2 linked regions of the Tamandua tetradactyla genome follow. The protein of the gene in region 1 interacts with the protein of each later gene in a pairwise test. Links are inferred from orthologs where the notes say so. Each region holds a gene or a part of one and is shown in the gene's direction. Other genes may lie near its edges.

Evidence for each region.
Region 2: the proteins of VIM (region 1) and fatty acid-binding protein, adipocyte interact in a two-hybrid assay, tested with the Homo sapiens proteins (2 studies listed by BioGRID and IntAct). The link is inferred for Tamandua tetradactyla from reciprocal best matches to the Homo sapiens genes VIM and FABP4.

Annotation. Positions count from the first base shown.
Region 1 is NC_135327.1:231,910,658-231,919,000, forward strand, and holds the start of VIM (vimentin), read left to right. Parts: upstream 1-4,729; 5' UTR 4,730-4,807; coding exon 4,808-5,367; intron 5,368-5,732; coding exon 5,733-5,793; intron 5,794-8,107; coding exon 8,108-8,203; intron 8,204-8,283; coding exon 8,284-8,343. UniProt on the Homo sapiens protein: Vimentins are class-III intermediate filaments found in various non-epithelial cells, especially mesenchymal cells. Vimentin is attached to the nucleus, endoplasmic reticulum, and mitochondria, either laterally or terminally.
Region 2 is NC_135332.1:125,327,092-125,334,981, reverse strand, and holds the start of fatty acid-binding protein, adipocyte, read left to right. Parts: upstream 1-4,421; 5' UTR 4,422-4,518; coding exon 4,519-4,591; intron 4,592-7,159; coding exon 7,160-7,332; intron 7,333-7,890.

The DNA of each region.
Region 1 (8,343 bases):
GCTGGCTGCCCTGCCCTGGTAGCGGGGAAGCAGGCATGGTGGTGGGGTTCAGGCGGGCAATGGGCTCGGTTCTCTTTTGGCTATTGTTCTAGTTTGCTAGCTGCCGGAATGCAACACACCAGAGACAGACTGGCTTTTAATAAAAGGGATTTATTTTGTTAGTTCTTCAGAGGAAAGGCAGCTAACTTTCAACTGCTGTTCTTTCTTACGTGGGAAGGCACAGGGCGATCTCTGCTGGCCTTCTCTCCCGGCCTCTGGGTTCCAACAACTTTCCCGGGGTGATTCCTTTCTGCATCTCCAAAGGCCTGAGCTGAGCTCTGAGTGCTGAGATGAGGTATGCTGAGCTGCTTGGGTTGTGCTGCGTTGCGTCTCCCATTTAAGCACCAGCCAATTAAGTCAAACATCATTCATTGCAGCAGGCACGCCTCCTAGCCGACTGCAGATATAATCAGGAACAGGTGAGGTTCACATACAACTGGCTCATGTCCACAGCAACAGAACTAGGTGCCTTCATCTGGCCAAGTTGACACCTGACTCTAACTATCACAGTTATGATGCCCTGGAAGGAGGGGAAGGAACATAGGGGAAAACGTGCAACTCCCAGGTGAGAGAAGGATTCTGAGCTCCTGTTCCTCACCGAATGAAGGGGAGCCCTAGAGTCAGGGGCTCGCCAAGCTCTTCCAGGAACCTGCATCTCCACAGGTGCTAAAGGCCCTTTCCTCTGCAGCTCCTGGAGCCTGATTAATATCTGTGAGCTACACTGGCTGACAGCGGACAAGGTTCAGTCACGGACCAGGAGAATAGGCACGCACATTCGGGGACACAAAGGCCCCCCTTCGCCACCCCTACCCCAGCGACCCCACCTGAAAGACGGTGTCAGCTCCACCTCACAGGTGCTGCAAGGGCCCCCTCTTACCTTCAACATAAGCAAAGCCCCCCGACACCCAGGTTATTGTACTGCCGCCCCCAACACCCAGGTTATTGTACCACCCCCCCCAACACCCAGGTTATTGTACCGCCCCCTCCCCCCGGCGCCCTGCCTCCTCAGCTGTGCAAGCCTGCCTGCCCCCTTCCCCTCCTGCCTGCCCCCTTCCCCTCTTGCCCGTCCTGACACCCCACCCCCACTGCTGTCCTGGGTCCTACCAGCTTCTCCAAGCCCGGGGCGCAGCTCCCATCTGCCACCGGCTGGTAAGTCGGTGCAAATAACTGAACTCGGCAGACAGGGCCACAGCCTGCAAATCCCAAATCCTGCGCGGCACCTGGGGTCAGCAGGGTGGCCTGGCCTGCACCCCTGGGGCCTGGCTAGGGCACTGCCCACACTGCAGATGCAGATGGCAAAGAGCTCAGCGTTTACAGAGCACCTGAGGTGGGTTTTCACAGAGTCAAAAAATAAACACAACTGAGAACACTGTGTCTGCGCTGCCAGCTTCCAAGAGGCCCTGAAGACGCAGGGAGGAGGCAGCGAGGGCGCCAGCTCCGGCCACCGCCCCTCCCTGACGCCTGTCTCCCAGCCTCAGTAACACCCAGCTGGCACTGGGCTCACCTCAGAGGGAACGCCATTCTTTCCAAAGTCTCAGGCATTGCACACATCTGCACACATATGTGAATACACACAAATGTGCACGTACATATATACATATATACATACATATAAACAAACACACTTATTTATATGCACATATTTGGATACACAGAGGCAACATGCCTACATACATATGGACACATTCACACATATACACACATACAAATACACAAAACATGCATGTATGCATATACATAATTATACATACATGTATACATATACATGTAAACACATACATTATAAGTGTACATATGCATAAACACAGATATACACACATTTACACAAACGGACACATATATGCATACACACAAACAGCATATACATTATACACATGTATATATGTATACATACACATATTGTCATGCACACTTACATACACATGCACGCATACACATATGTATCTATACACCTAGACGTACAAACACCCATGTACATACAAACAATACAAAAATGCATAATATACACACAAACATATACATTTAAGCATGCATACATATATTTATACACACACGAACACACAACACATTATACAAACATGCACACATATACATACATACATATACACAGAAACACATGAATATACATAGATACACATGCTATGCACAAATACACACATGCACACCTAAAATCACACATATACACACATGCATATATAAACACACTGTACACACACGTCATATACACTCATATAGAGACAGTTACACAGGTGTGTTTATATACATGTATGCATGCACATGCATATACAATATATGCACATATAGACACACCCCCCCACACACACACAGGTGTGTATACATGAGGCGAGTGAGCTCGTCAGTCCTGGCAAGAGTAGACTACCCCAGGCCTGAGGATACAGCAAGAGGGCACGTTTGCAGGAGAAGGGAGACATCCTGACGCCGAGGGGGGCAGAGTCCCACCGGGAGGAAGACACGCTGCCCCACCCCCGCAGGCCCAGACCCCCCTTCCGAGTGAGGCCCTGGACTGCTCTCTGTAGAGCCCACAAGCCGAGGCATCGCTCAGGCCGAGGCTTCCAGGGACTCACAATGGGGACCTTTGCTGAGCTGGGCCTGAACAGAGGCTCTTAGAGAGCAAGGCGAGGGCGGAGCCCAGGAATGTCCCCCACGGATCCCAGCCCCTGCAGCAGCGGCCTTGCCCACTGCCCCCGGGATGGGGAGTCCGGCCAGGGCAGGGAAACACTTCCAAAAGGAGGCTGTCCCTAGGCCAAATAAACCCTGCATTCGGCCCTAAGCCGCCTCCCTAAATGCCAGGTGCCGGCCAGGACCCAAGAGCGAGGGCTGGATGCTGCCCCTGCCCAGGCGGGTCTGAAGTCAGCCCTCTGGACTCCCCCAGAAAGCACGTCTCCAGGGCCCCATCACGGGAAGGCCGCTCCCTGCTGGGTCCCTTCCTGTGTGGCCTGGTCTCGCTGTAGCTGACAGGGAGACAGCAGCCCCTGGAGGTGAGTGGAGCACCCAGAAAGGGGGCAGTGGTGGCCCTGTGTACGCCTGCCGCCCCCACTCCTCTCGGCCAGGCCCCGCGGAGCTGGGGCACGTCCAGCAAAGTCCCAGGAGCCAGCGTGCGCGCTCGGTCCTGACATGAACACACCAGCCTGCTCCCCAGCCTTCCGTCAGCGGCCTTTGGCCAGGCTCATTCATCAGACTGGGGATTCCAAGCGACACCCAGTAATTCCCGCTTTGGCTCGGATTGTGCCTTTAAGGCCTTCGGTGGAGGCAGCAGCGCCAGGGGCCCTCTGCGAGATTGTGAAACCGCGGGCGGGGTTTCCTCTTTTACCCAGAACTTTCAGATCTTTCTAAAAGCCGGGCGTGGCGCCCTGGGGGAGTGGGGACGGCGCGGGCGGCCGGAGGGGGCTGGGCCTGCACGGGGCGGACCGAGTCGCGCGCGCCGAAGGGCCTTTCCGGTGAGAAGCGCGCGCGGCCGGGTCCGCTCAGGCCCTGGCGAGTTCTTAAGAACTTCGGGGCGCCCCTGTGCCCCGCAACAGCGCGGCGGCGGCCTTCTAAGTTGGCGAAGACCTAGGACAAAGCGCGAGTCCGCCTCGTCTAACGGTCTCCCGCGAACCGCTAGGCGCCCTCCCCCCGGGGACCGCAGGCGCCCTGAGTCACCCACCGCCGTGACTCAGCCACCGCGCCCCGTCCCCCGGCTTTCCTTGGCCGCCGGACCCAGCCCTCGGGTCCCGGACGGGACCCCCGAGACAGGAGGTCGAACGGGGCAGGCCCGCGCGCTCCCAGCCCAGTGGGTCAGGCGCGGGGGCGGGGGAGGGGAGCGAGACCAAGGTCCCGGTCCCGCCGCGCGCCCACCCTGCGCTCCAATCTCGGCGTTCTTTGTGTCACCCTTGCACCTCCCTCAGGCGGGGCCCTCACGCCCCACCCCGGTCACCGAGTTCCTAGCGCCCCCCGCGGCCCCTCCCGACCCTGGGCGCGGCTCCCGGCCCTTCTCCTCCAGCCACGGAGGGTTCCTCCCCCGCTCCTACCCCGCGCCCCCTCCCCATCCCTGGGCGCCGCACCCCAAATCCCTTTCCTCCAGCCCTGGGCGGATCCCCACCCTTCGCTCTCCACCAATCCAAGACTGTGGAGCGCGGTTCGAGGCCTCTCTTCTCTAGCGGAGGCGGGTCCCCGCTCCGCGCCCCCCACCCTCCTGAATGGGCGCGGCGCCGAGCCCCTCTCCTCCAGCTACGAGAAGACCCCTCCCCCGCGCCCCTCACCCCCGACCCTGGGCGCCGCGCCCCCAACCCCTCTCCTCCCGTCCCGGCGGCCCTTTCCCCGCGCCCCCCTGAGCACGGCGCGGGCCCCCTCTCCTCCAGCTCTCGGCGGGTACCTCCCGCTCAGCCCCGCTTGCTACCCGCACGCCCCTCCCCCGGCCCTGGGCGCCTCACGGGGCCCCTCTCCCCCACTCCGGGCGGGTCCCCCTCGCCCAGTGCCCCGCCTTTACCAGCCCCGGGGCTGAGCAGAGCCAGCCCAGGAAGCCCCGACAGTGCCTGCCCCGCCCCAGAAGTAACGGGACTGCCGGGCCGGACGGAAGGGGGGGACCCCGCGGGCGCCCCCCTCCTCTCCTTCGGAAGGTCCCATTGGCTGGCGCTTGCGCCGCGGCCGCCGAGAGGAGGGGGCCCTGCCTCCCTGCGCGGATAAAAGCCGCGCCCGGACTCCGGGCGTCCTCTGCCGTTCCCGCTCCGGTCCTGCGCTCGCGCCCCGCCGTCCGCCACCCGCCGCAGCCATGTCCACCCGCTCCGTGTCCTCCTCGTCCTACCGCAGGATGTTTGGCGGCCCCGGCACCGCGAGCCGCCCCAGCTCGAGCCGCAGCTACGTGACCACGTCCACGCGCACCTACAGCCTGGGCAGCGCCCTGCGCCCCAGCACCAGCCGCAGCCTCTACGGCGCGTCCCCCGGCGCCTACACAACGCGCACCTCCGCCGTGCGCGTGCGGAGCGCCGGGTCGGGCCCGCGGCTCCTGCACGACGCCGTGGACTTCTCGCTGGCCGACGCCATCAACACCGAGTTCAGGAACACGCGCACCAACGAGAAGGTGGAGCTGCAGGAGCTCAACGACCGCTTCGCCAACTACATCGACAAGGTGCGCTTCCTGGAGCAGCAGAACAAGATCCTGCTGGCCGAGCTCGAGCAGCTCAAAGGCCAGGGCAAGTCGCGCCTGGGCGACCTCTACGAGGAGGAGATGCGCGAGCTGCGCCGCCAGCTGGACCAGGTCACCAACGACAAGGCGCGCGTCGAGGTGGAGCGCGACAACCTGGCTGAGGACATCCAGCGACTGCGGGAGAAGTGAGGAGGGAGCCGCGGGGCCGGGGGGGGTGGGCGGGGCCGCCAGAGGGACCTGGTCGCGCGCTGGCCCCGGGGGCGGAGGGGCGGGCCCCGCCCTACCTCGGGACCTGGCGGGGAGCATTTCCCCTCGGCCCACGCAGTGCCCAAATGGCAGGTTTCTAAGCCTGCCGCCCGGGCTGCGCTGAGAGGCCCTGGGAAAGAGCAGAGGGATACGCCCGCGCTTGGGGGAAGGCTCCCGGCCCCGGGCGGACTGCCAGCTGCGCCCCGGCAGACCGAGGGGGCGGCAGCCGCGACGTGGGAGCTGGGTGTGGCCGTGCGGCCCCGCGCGCTCCGCGTCGCCTTGGGGTAACGGGCGCCTCTTTCAGGTTGCAGGACGAGATGATTCAGAGGGAGGAAGCCGAGAGCACCCTGCAGTCGTTCCGACAGGTGTGTGACCTACCCGCGCGCGCGCGTGCGTTGCCCCGGCCCCACCCAAGCGGCCCGCGGGCTGGCCTCGAGGTCGGCGAGCCTCGGTCCCAGGGGTGCGGAGCCTCCGGCCCAGCGCAGAGACCGCGTCTCGGGCCCAAACCCCGCGGCGACTTTCCTGGGGACGGTGGGAAAAAGGCTTTGGCTTTTTTAAACTTTGTTTCAAGGTTTTTTTTCCCAAAAAATAAGCCCGTTTCACTTTTGTAACACATTGGCATTCCGCCTTTGAACAGTTACAGTTTGACTTAGCTTGCGGTTTGCTACGGTGGAGTTGGCTAACTCATACAAGGTCACAAAAAGCAGTGAGGCTCAGAGTAGTTTAAATTGTAAAATGAGTTGCAGGATAAGAAACTTAGGCTAGTTGGAATCAAGCCAGCCAGTTTCTTTTCTTTTCTGCAAGTTCCACTGTGGCATTAAAGTTAGAAGTCCAGCCCTGCCCAGGACTTTGTGATCTAATAAGGGGGAAAGGGGCCATCTGGCCCCTTGCTGGAAGGGAATTAATGGTTTCTATGGGATTCACTATGGAATGCAGATACAGACGTTCTGGCAAATGTGGTGGCGCTGGGCAGACATAATGGCAGTCTTTGTGCTCCCCGCAGGGCTGTGCAGCAGGCGGCATTCTTATTCAGTCTGTCATGATGTAAGCAGAGCTCTCATTGGACACAAGTATTTGCTAACATCTTCACATCCGTTATCTAATATCTGGCCCAGGCTTGGGAAGTACGTGATGGGAACAGCTCTTAAAGCCACAGGGCACCTTGGACTGGCCTCTCAACTGCCCTCGTGGGTAAAGAAGATGCGAGGGCCAAAGAGCTGAACTTTAAGTAGAGGTTTTTGGGTTTTTTTCCTACAAATCTTAGCTCACTCAAAGGATTTTAAACTTACAATAGAAAGCAGGAAGGTTTCGCAGTGTAGATTTCTTCTCTCGCGCACTTACTGTACTGGCTGTAAAAGCACTTAGGTGTACAGTTGAGGATAACATCTTGAAGCTGAAAGACATTTGCCACATTAATTTAAATGCAGCAATGTGTGGTTCGCTTGAGTCACTAAGTATTTAAGATTATGTAATGTAGCGTGCAGGGCACTGAGTTAATAGAAAGCAGCTTTCATGTAAAAGGGCCTCTGTTTAGGGATGAGGCAAAGTTCCTTGCATTCTCTTCAAGGAAGCAGCTAACATGTTGAGCATTTTGAGAGGTTAGTAAAATGATTTTAAATCTTTTTAAGGGCTTAGTAGCAAGCAAAATGAATTTTTTTTCCAAATCTGATGTTTTTATTATTACCCATTCTTCACTTACTTTCCTGTGAGAGGGATGCAGATGAGATGGGGTCAGACTGCACGACAGATGTAAATTGCTCACAAGATAAGAGGTTTAGAAATCCTGGGACACTCACTTCAGAGGAAGTACAGTCTTAATTGAATGGGCTCTGATGTGGAATGTAGCAGCTTACAGAGGGTGGCAACACAGGAGGATAGTGAGGTGAGCAAGAGTCCTTGCAGGGCCTCGTGGTGGCGGGGATTGTAACGGGTCACTATGATAAAGGCAAGTGACAGAACTGACCGAGTCAGGGAGGGGGCCACACCCACCAGCCGGGTCACAAGGCTAGTCTCCCCAGGAAGGCACAGCACACATGGTCACCTTTGTTTCGGTATTTGCTGGAGCCGCATCTTTGCACACCCTAGATGTATCTAGTTGCTGCTTGATTGAAACCTGGCTGGTGATGTGGCTGCCAGGTGGTGATACCTACGGATAATTTCCGGACAATCTGAGAAGAGTAAAAGACAGCTTGGTATGCATCGACACTTTGGGAGCATGAGTTTCTGTTTTACATGCACTCATGTATAAATGAAGTTTTGCAACCCAGTTGGGCCTGTCCTGCCTGTATTCCCTTACGCTACGGGACACACATGCACACACTTTTAAAACACTGTGGCATTAACTTTTTATATTTAAGAAGGAAATTTAAAACATCACTGGTAGTATCTTTATCTCATAATAATTGACCTAGTGCAGTTTGCCATGTTGATATAGGTTAATTTATTTAAAAATTGTCTATTGGCCAAACTTGACACAGCATATGGGACCACAACTCACATTTATTAATGAAGAGAAGAAAGCATACACAGCACTAAGATTTACAAACTCGGTCAGGGGTCATGGAATTTCTCAATCCCCTTCTCGGGCGGCCAGCTGCAGTGCCTGGGGTTAAATGAACGCTTGAGCCATGCCTTAGATTCCAGCACGTCCACGTCTGTTCTTTTCTCTCTTCAAAACAGGACGTTGACAACGCTTCCTTGGCGCGCCTCGACCTCGAGCGCAAAGTCGAGACCTTGCAGGAAGAGATTGTCTTCTTGAAGAAGATTCACGACGAGGTGAGGGGAGCCTCTTTGGGGAGAGGCTGTGGGGAAGCAGGGGTCCTGGTGGGCTGACCCTCCCCTTCCCTTTGCCGCAGGAGATCCAGGAGCTGCAGGCGCAGATCCAGGAGCAGCACGTCCAGATCGACATGGACGTG
Region 2 (7,890 bases), on another chromosome or scaffold:
AGAAAAAGAAATACAAGGCATCAAAATTGGAAAAGAAGAAGTAAAACTCTCACTATTTGGAGATGATATGGTACTATATGTCAAAATCCTGAAAAATACACAGCAAAACTATCAAAGCTGATAAATGAATACAGCAAAGTGGCAGGTTGCAAGATCAACACTCAAAAATCTGTAGTGTTTCTATACACTAGTAATGAACAATCTGAGGGGGAAATCAAGAAAAAAATTCCGTTTACAATTGCAACCAAAAGAATAAAATATTTAAGAATAAATTTAACTGAGGATACAAAAGAGCTATACAAAGAAAACTGCAAGAAATTGCTAAAAAGAAATCACAGAAGACCTAAATAAATGGAAGGGAAGACTAAATATAGTTAAGATGTCAATTCTACCTAAATTGATTTATAGAGTCAATGCAATACCAATTAAAATCCCCAAAACTTACTTTTCAGAAATAGAAAGAAAAAAAAACAAATTTATCTGGAAGGGCAGTGTCATGGTCAGATTCATGTGTCAACTTGGCCAGGTGGTGGTACCTGTTTGTCTGGTTGGGCAAGTACTGGTCTGTCTTTTGCTGTGAGGACATTTCATAGCATTAAATCATGATCCCGTAAGCTACATCCACAGCTGATTCCATTTGTAATCAGCCAAGGGGAGTGTCTTCTTTAATAAGTGATGCTTAATCTAATCACTGGAAACCTTTTAAGGAGGATTCAGAAGACACAGGCTCTCTTCCTGCTTTGGCTAGTGAGCCTCTTCTGTGGAGTTCATCCAGACCTTCCATCAGAGTCCTCAGCTTCACAGCCTGTCCTACAGATTTTGGACTCTACATTGCCACGGTTACATGAGGCACTTATATAAATTTTATATTTATGAATATTCCCTGTTGATTCTGTTTCTCTAGAGAACCCTAAATAATACAGGCAGGGTGCCCCAAATAGCTAAAAATATCCTGAGAAAGAAAAATGAAGTCAGAGGTCTCACACTACCTGACTTGAAGGCGTATTATGAAGGTATAGCAGTCAAAACAACATGGTACTGGCATAAAGATAGATATACTGACAAATGGAATAGAATAAAGTGTTCAGATATAGACCCTTTCATCTATGGACAATTGATTTTTGATAAGGCAGTCAAGCCAACTCACCTGGGACAGAACAGTCTCTTCAATAAATGGTACTTAGAAAACTGGATATCCACATGCAAAATAATGAAAGAGGATCCATATCTCACACTCTATACAAAAATTGACTCAAAATGGATCAAAGACCTAAATGTTAGATCAAAGACCTAAATGTTAGATCTAAGACCATAAAACTTTTAGAAGAAAATGTAGGGAAATATCTTATAAATCTTTTAATAGGAGGCGGTTTCCTAGACCTTACACCCAAAGCACAAACATTGAAGAAATAAATAATAAATGGGAACTCCTCAAAATTAAACACTTTTGTGCATTGAAGAACTTTGTTGAGAAGGTAAAAAGACAGCCTATACAATGGGAGACAATATTTGGAAATGATATTTCAGATATGAGTCTAGTAACCAGAATATATAAAGAGATTGTTCAACTCAACAACAAAAAGACAAACAACCCAATTACAAAATGAGCAAAAGACATGAACAGACACTTCTCAGAAGAGGAAATACAAATGGCCAAAAGGCACATGAAAAGATGCTCAACTTCGCTGCCTATTAGGGAAATGCAAATCAAAATCACAATGCGATATCATCTCACACCCACCAGAATGGCCGCACCCACGGCCACCAGAATGACCATTATCAATAAAACAGAAAATGACAAGTGCTGGAGAGGATGTGGAGAAAGAGGCACACTTATCCATTTTTGGTGGGACTGTCAAATGATCCAACCGCTGTGAAGGCAGATTGGTGTTTCCTCAGGAAGCTAAGTATAGAATTGCCATATGATCCGGCAATACCATTGCTAGGTATCTACTCAGAGGACATGAGGGCAAGGACACAAATGAACATTTGCACACCAATCTTTATAGCAGCATTATTTACAATTGCCAAGAGATAGAAACTGCCCAAATGTCCATCAACAGATGAGTGGCGAAACAAGCTGTGGTATATACATACGATGGAATTTTACACAGCTCTGAGACAGAATAAAGCTATGAAGTATATAACAACATGGATGGATCTTGAGGACATTATGGTGAGTGAGAATAGCCAGAAACAAAAGGACAAATACTGTATGGTCTCACTAATATGGACTAACATTAATGAATAAACTTGGAGAATTTCAGTTAAGAACAGAGACCATGAGGAGATAGAAATAGGTGGATATTTTGTAATAGGATATTTTGTAATTGGAGCTGAAGGGATATAGATTGTGCAACAGGACTGATTGTAAAAATTTAGAAATGGACAACACAATACTACCTAACTGTAATACAATAATGCTAGTACACTGAATGAGGCTGAATGTGAGAATGATAGAGGGAGGAAGGCTGGGGGCACAAATGAAATCAGAAGGAAAGGTAGATGATAAAGACTGAAACGGTATAATCTAGGAATGCCTAGAGTGTACAATGATAGTGACTAAATGTACAAATTTAAAAACGTCTTTTCATGAGGAAGAACAAAGGAATGTCAATATTGCAGCTTGTTGAAAATAGATGGTAATTCATATTTTAAAATTTTAGCTTATGTGTGAGACTAAAGCAAAAAATGTTTATTTAGTACAATATTTATTTATTTATTTTGATTGGCAGGCATGGGAATCAAACCCAGGTCTCCGGCATGGTAGGAAAGAGCTCTGCCACTCTGCTGCCATCACCAGCCCCAAAATTTATATTTTGACTAATGCATTTCCTAATATAACTTATGTGGACTGTTTAATTGAACACCATAAGTACATGGAACCTTGAGTAGGGCATGAGATTTTGATGGTTTGTCAAGTGATGCCCCGATAAACCCCAGAGTGATTTGAACAGTGAATAAAAAAGTATTTGCAAAGTCCCCTTGGGGAAATGGTGAGAAAGGGGGAAAATTCAACTTCTCTATGAGGAGAATTCCTGATATTCTCACAATCAGTGTGGACAACTAAAGCAATAGGCCAAGTCCTCAATCTTGGGGTTTGTTCACATGAAACTTATCCCCGCAAAGAATAGACTAGGCCTACTTAAAATTAGGCCTAAGAGTCACCCAAAGAACCTCTTTTGTTGCTCAGATGTGGCCTCTCTCTCTTTCAGCCAACACGACAAGCAAACTCACTAGCCTGCCCCTCTCCCTCTCTATGTGGGACATGACTCCCAGGTTATAAACCTTCCTGGCAACGTGGAACAGAAATCCTAGAATGAGCTGAGACTCAGCATCAAGGGATTGAGAAAATCTTCTCGACTAAAAGGAGGAAGAGCGAAATGAGACTAAATAAAGTGTCAATGGCTGAGAGATTCCAAACAGAGTCAAGAGGTTATCCTGGAGGTTATTCTTACGCATTAAATAGATATTACCTTGTTAGTTAAGGTATAACAGAGAGGCTGGAGGGAACTGTCTGAAAATGTAGAACTGTGTTCCAGTAGCCATGTTTCTTGAAGATGTTTGTATAAGGATATAGCTTTCACAATGTGACTGTATGATTGTGAAAACCTTGTGTCTGATGCTCCTTTTATCTATAATATGGACAAATGAATAAAACATATGGATTAAAAATAAATAAATAATAGGGGGAACAAATGTTAAAATAATTTTAGTGGATTTAAATGAAAGGGAGTGGTAAGGGGTATAGAAAAAAATAGGGGAAACAAAGGCTAAAATATATTGGGTAGATGGAAATACTAGCTGTCAATGAGAGGGAAGGGTAAGGGATATGGTGTACATGAGTTTTTTTCTTTTTCCTTTTTATATCTTTTTCTGAATGGATGCAAATGTTCTAAGAAATTATCATGGTGATGAATATACAACTATGTGATGATATTGTGAGTTATTGATTGTATACCAAGAATGGAATGGTTATATGGTAAGAATGTTCATATTTGTATGTTGTTATGTTTAAAAAATATTTTTTAATTTAAAAGAAAAGGAATCTCCAAGATTGTTCTCGTGTTCCTCAATTCAAAGAAATACCATATAATTGCATTTTTAATAAAAACACAAGTAAATTGGGTCAAAGTTCATCCCAAGCTAATTAGCTGCCCCCAGTTGGGATGAAAATAGTAGGGAGAGATTTAATGCATTGATCATTGAGCTTTCAAAGCAGAAATGTTAAAGTCTTCTGCTCATGCTTAAAAGTAATTTGAACTCTAAGTACAATGACCATTTGCCAGGGAGAGCCAAAGTTGAAAAATTTCTATTAAAAATATGACTCAGAGGGAAAAATGCAGAGGCTAGTAATGAAGGAAATGTTCTAATATCATCCCCAATTGGCCACTCCTAAGATCACATGTTTTGGGCACACTTAAAAGGAAGTTATCTGGACTCAGCAGGATAATAGCACCTTCCCAAAAGCTGCCGTTTGTATCTCACCTTGAAGAATAATCAGACAAAGCTCACAAAATGTGTGATGCATTTGTAGGCACCTGGAAACTTGTCTCCAGTGAAAACTTTGATGATTACATGAAAGAAGTGGGTAAGCAAATGTGCTATGTAATAACTGGGTTTATAACTTTTTCTCTAAGGGAAAGGGTTTATGGCTGTGTTTTTTATTCTGGCCAGATATGAAAATGCCACTTCCTATATACAGGTTATTCAGTAGTAAGTAAGAATCATTTGTTTCTAGAAATATCTGGACCAAAGGGATAAGCAATATTTCCTAAATATGAATCAACATGCAAAAGGATCTAAATGGAATTTTTATGGCTGACAGAAGTGACAAACTTTTATTTTAATTGCTAAACTTGGGTGTCTTTGGTTTACTTGGCTCATTGCCTGTTTTTCTTTCATCTTCTCTTGCAAATGAAATTAGCATTAGCTAAGACGTAAAGTCAGATTTATTTCCTAGCTTTAATAATTTCCATTTGAATCTGAAAGTACTGTATTTTCCATCTTAATGAAGATGCTTTTTTTTTAAAGTAGATGTATGTTTATGTCGTTTGACTGTCAAGCCATTAAAATGTGTGGTTGTATTATGGGAGTCAAAATCTTAATTTCAGAGAATTTGTTTTTTAAAGTACTTAAATAGTTATTTGATTAGAAATTATAGGGAATGCTATAGAACGATTAAATAATTCAAAAGGCGAATGTTTATATCCGTTACATATCTCCTGTTTGATAATGGAGGCTTTCAATTTTTTAGATTCTGTTAATGTTACCAGTGAGTTGTGCGAATGTTCCCCAAATAATTATGGAGGTAAAGCAAGCAAGTAGGAAGGAGATTTCTCACTCAGGCAGCTCCAATTTTGAAAGCTCCCCTCTCTAAACTTCTGTGCTTAATCAAGTCTGACCCTGGGGTTGCAGCAAATTGTGGGCGGTGGGGGGGTGGGGAAATGTCTTCACACGATATTTTAAGTGGCATTTAGCACGTAATCTCTAAACCTCAAAAGATTACCCCCCTCCTAACTTATGTAGTATAGTTTTCTTGCTTGTCTGTAATTTCTATTTTTCTTGTTTATAGACAAGGAGAAAATCAGGGACTTCAGCTTGAGAGAAACCCTGTTTTCTAGACTACCAACTAGCTTCAACCCAATAAACTAATATGTGCCGATATGGTAATGTCAAGATTTGAAGACATTTAGATATTTACTTTTGAAAACATTCTGTACATTTAATATTAACATTTAAATTCCTATAACACCGTTTCTACATTATAAAGTACCAATAATAATCAAAATGCAATAAGATACTTTCTGAAAACAGGTAAGCCTAAAGCTACTCTAATTAAGAGTGAGTAGACAGGAGGTATTACCTTCATCAAATAAGGACAGAAACAAACAAGTGGAGAATATGATTTTTCCAAAGTAGACCATCCCAGAATTATGCTCTATGTTGCCAGACTTCAAGCACAGTATTCAATGAACTAACTCGTTCCATATATTTGATGTTAACATTTTGTAACAGAGCCAGGTCCTCATGATGCAACTTATTTTCTTCCACCTGTGGCTACTTTTCAGATGGGGAACTAAATCAGAGCCTCAGAATCACTTGTTTTGCCCCATTATTTCTATCCAAGATCCCCACATTTAATCTTTGACACTGCTAAGTAGACTTAAGTCAAAGAAGCAGCTTATATTATGAACATGTTAAAAAATTCAACACTCCTATGACATGAATTCTGCATAACATATTGAATTTCCACTGTAATTTAGGTTGTAAGTCCTGCAACCCATATCGAACACAAGAAAAGTATATTTCTCTTAATTTAAAAAAAAGAAACAAAAGAAGAGTTTCCAAGTTACATGACTGAGAATGAAACTATTGGTTTCTAAACTTATCAAATGAGTGGTTTCTTAAATTTTGAAGTGTTTACAATTGATGCTTATCCCTCTGTAGTAATTCTTATAGCTTATTGGAAATGGTATCACCATTCTAAAATGGTATGAATATGGGAAACATTTTACTTTTCAGAGAAATTAATCAAAACCATCATTTTATAGCAGCAGTAGTTGGAATAGTAAGCAAAAAAACTAGACTGGCAGGAAATACCATGAAATTGTGATTCTTGTAAACTCAAAAGAGAACTGAATAACTGTTTATTAACCCCCAAAAAGTTCTGTTGAGAATTCTTTGACTGTGGATTTGGTCATTTTCATTATCTAAGAAGACAAATTTGAAGCATCTCATGAATTGAGTAAAATTATAGAGGTTTCCCTAATGGATTGAGATAGCCAGTTATTTGAGGGTACTGTGATTTTTTTATTTTTTAATTTCAGAAGACTAAACCTTTGAACATATTCTTATTAACAATTAAAAATAGATATCCTAAAGTATTATACCCAGAACCAGAGAAAGGCGAAGTTTAAATAATGGACCTACACATATTGTGACTCAAGTATTGACCTTGACCTTGACTGACTTTTACTTACCTTGCAGCAACTGTTCAGATAAGGCTTTCCAGAAACGCACTGGCACCTTTTCCTTTCTTTAAACACACACACACACACACACACACACACACACACACACACGCAGAGTACAGCTCTCTGACTTAGATAAAGATGTGAGAGAGACTGTGACTGATATTTTTTTGTCCTAACTGTAGGGGTGGGCTTTGCCACCAGGAAAGTGGCTGGAATGGCCAAACCCAACGTGCTCATCAGCGTGAACGAGGATGTGATCACCATTAAATCAGAAAGTACCTTTAAAAATACTGAGATTTCTTTCAAACTGGGTGAGGAATTTGATGAAGTCACTGCAGATGACAGGAAAGTCAAAGTAAGTAAATTCCCGGTTTCTGAATGATCACCGCCTGCAAGAAGTCATTTTGTAATAAAGGAAGAAAATGATTTCATTAAAGGCCAGAAATCTCTGAGGTCCTAGATCTAAACCCTGTTGCCTCTGATATGTAGTTGGTGATTTTCACCCCTTTTTATGAAGTTTTTGTATTAAAAAATTATGACCGGGCACTATAACAGTGGCTCAGTGGCAGAATTCTCGCCTGCCTTGCCGGAGACCCAGGTTCGATTCCTGGTGCTGCCCATGCAAAAAAAAAAAAAAAAAATTTTATTACTATATACCTTACGCAGAGTATTTAAAGTGAATTTAAGTAACATAACAATATTGGAGAATGTTTGAAAAAAGTAGAAGGGAGGGAAAAAAAACAGAAAGAAAAACATCCACAATACTATTTCAACATAAATCTATCAATTATCTGCATTCCATCAGTTTTTTTCTAAGTGCATGTTTGTTTACGAGTCTAGTCATAATGTATTTGTTTGCTTTCTACACTCATTTTTTTTTATTTTGCAGTATGTTCTTATCATTTAGAATTTC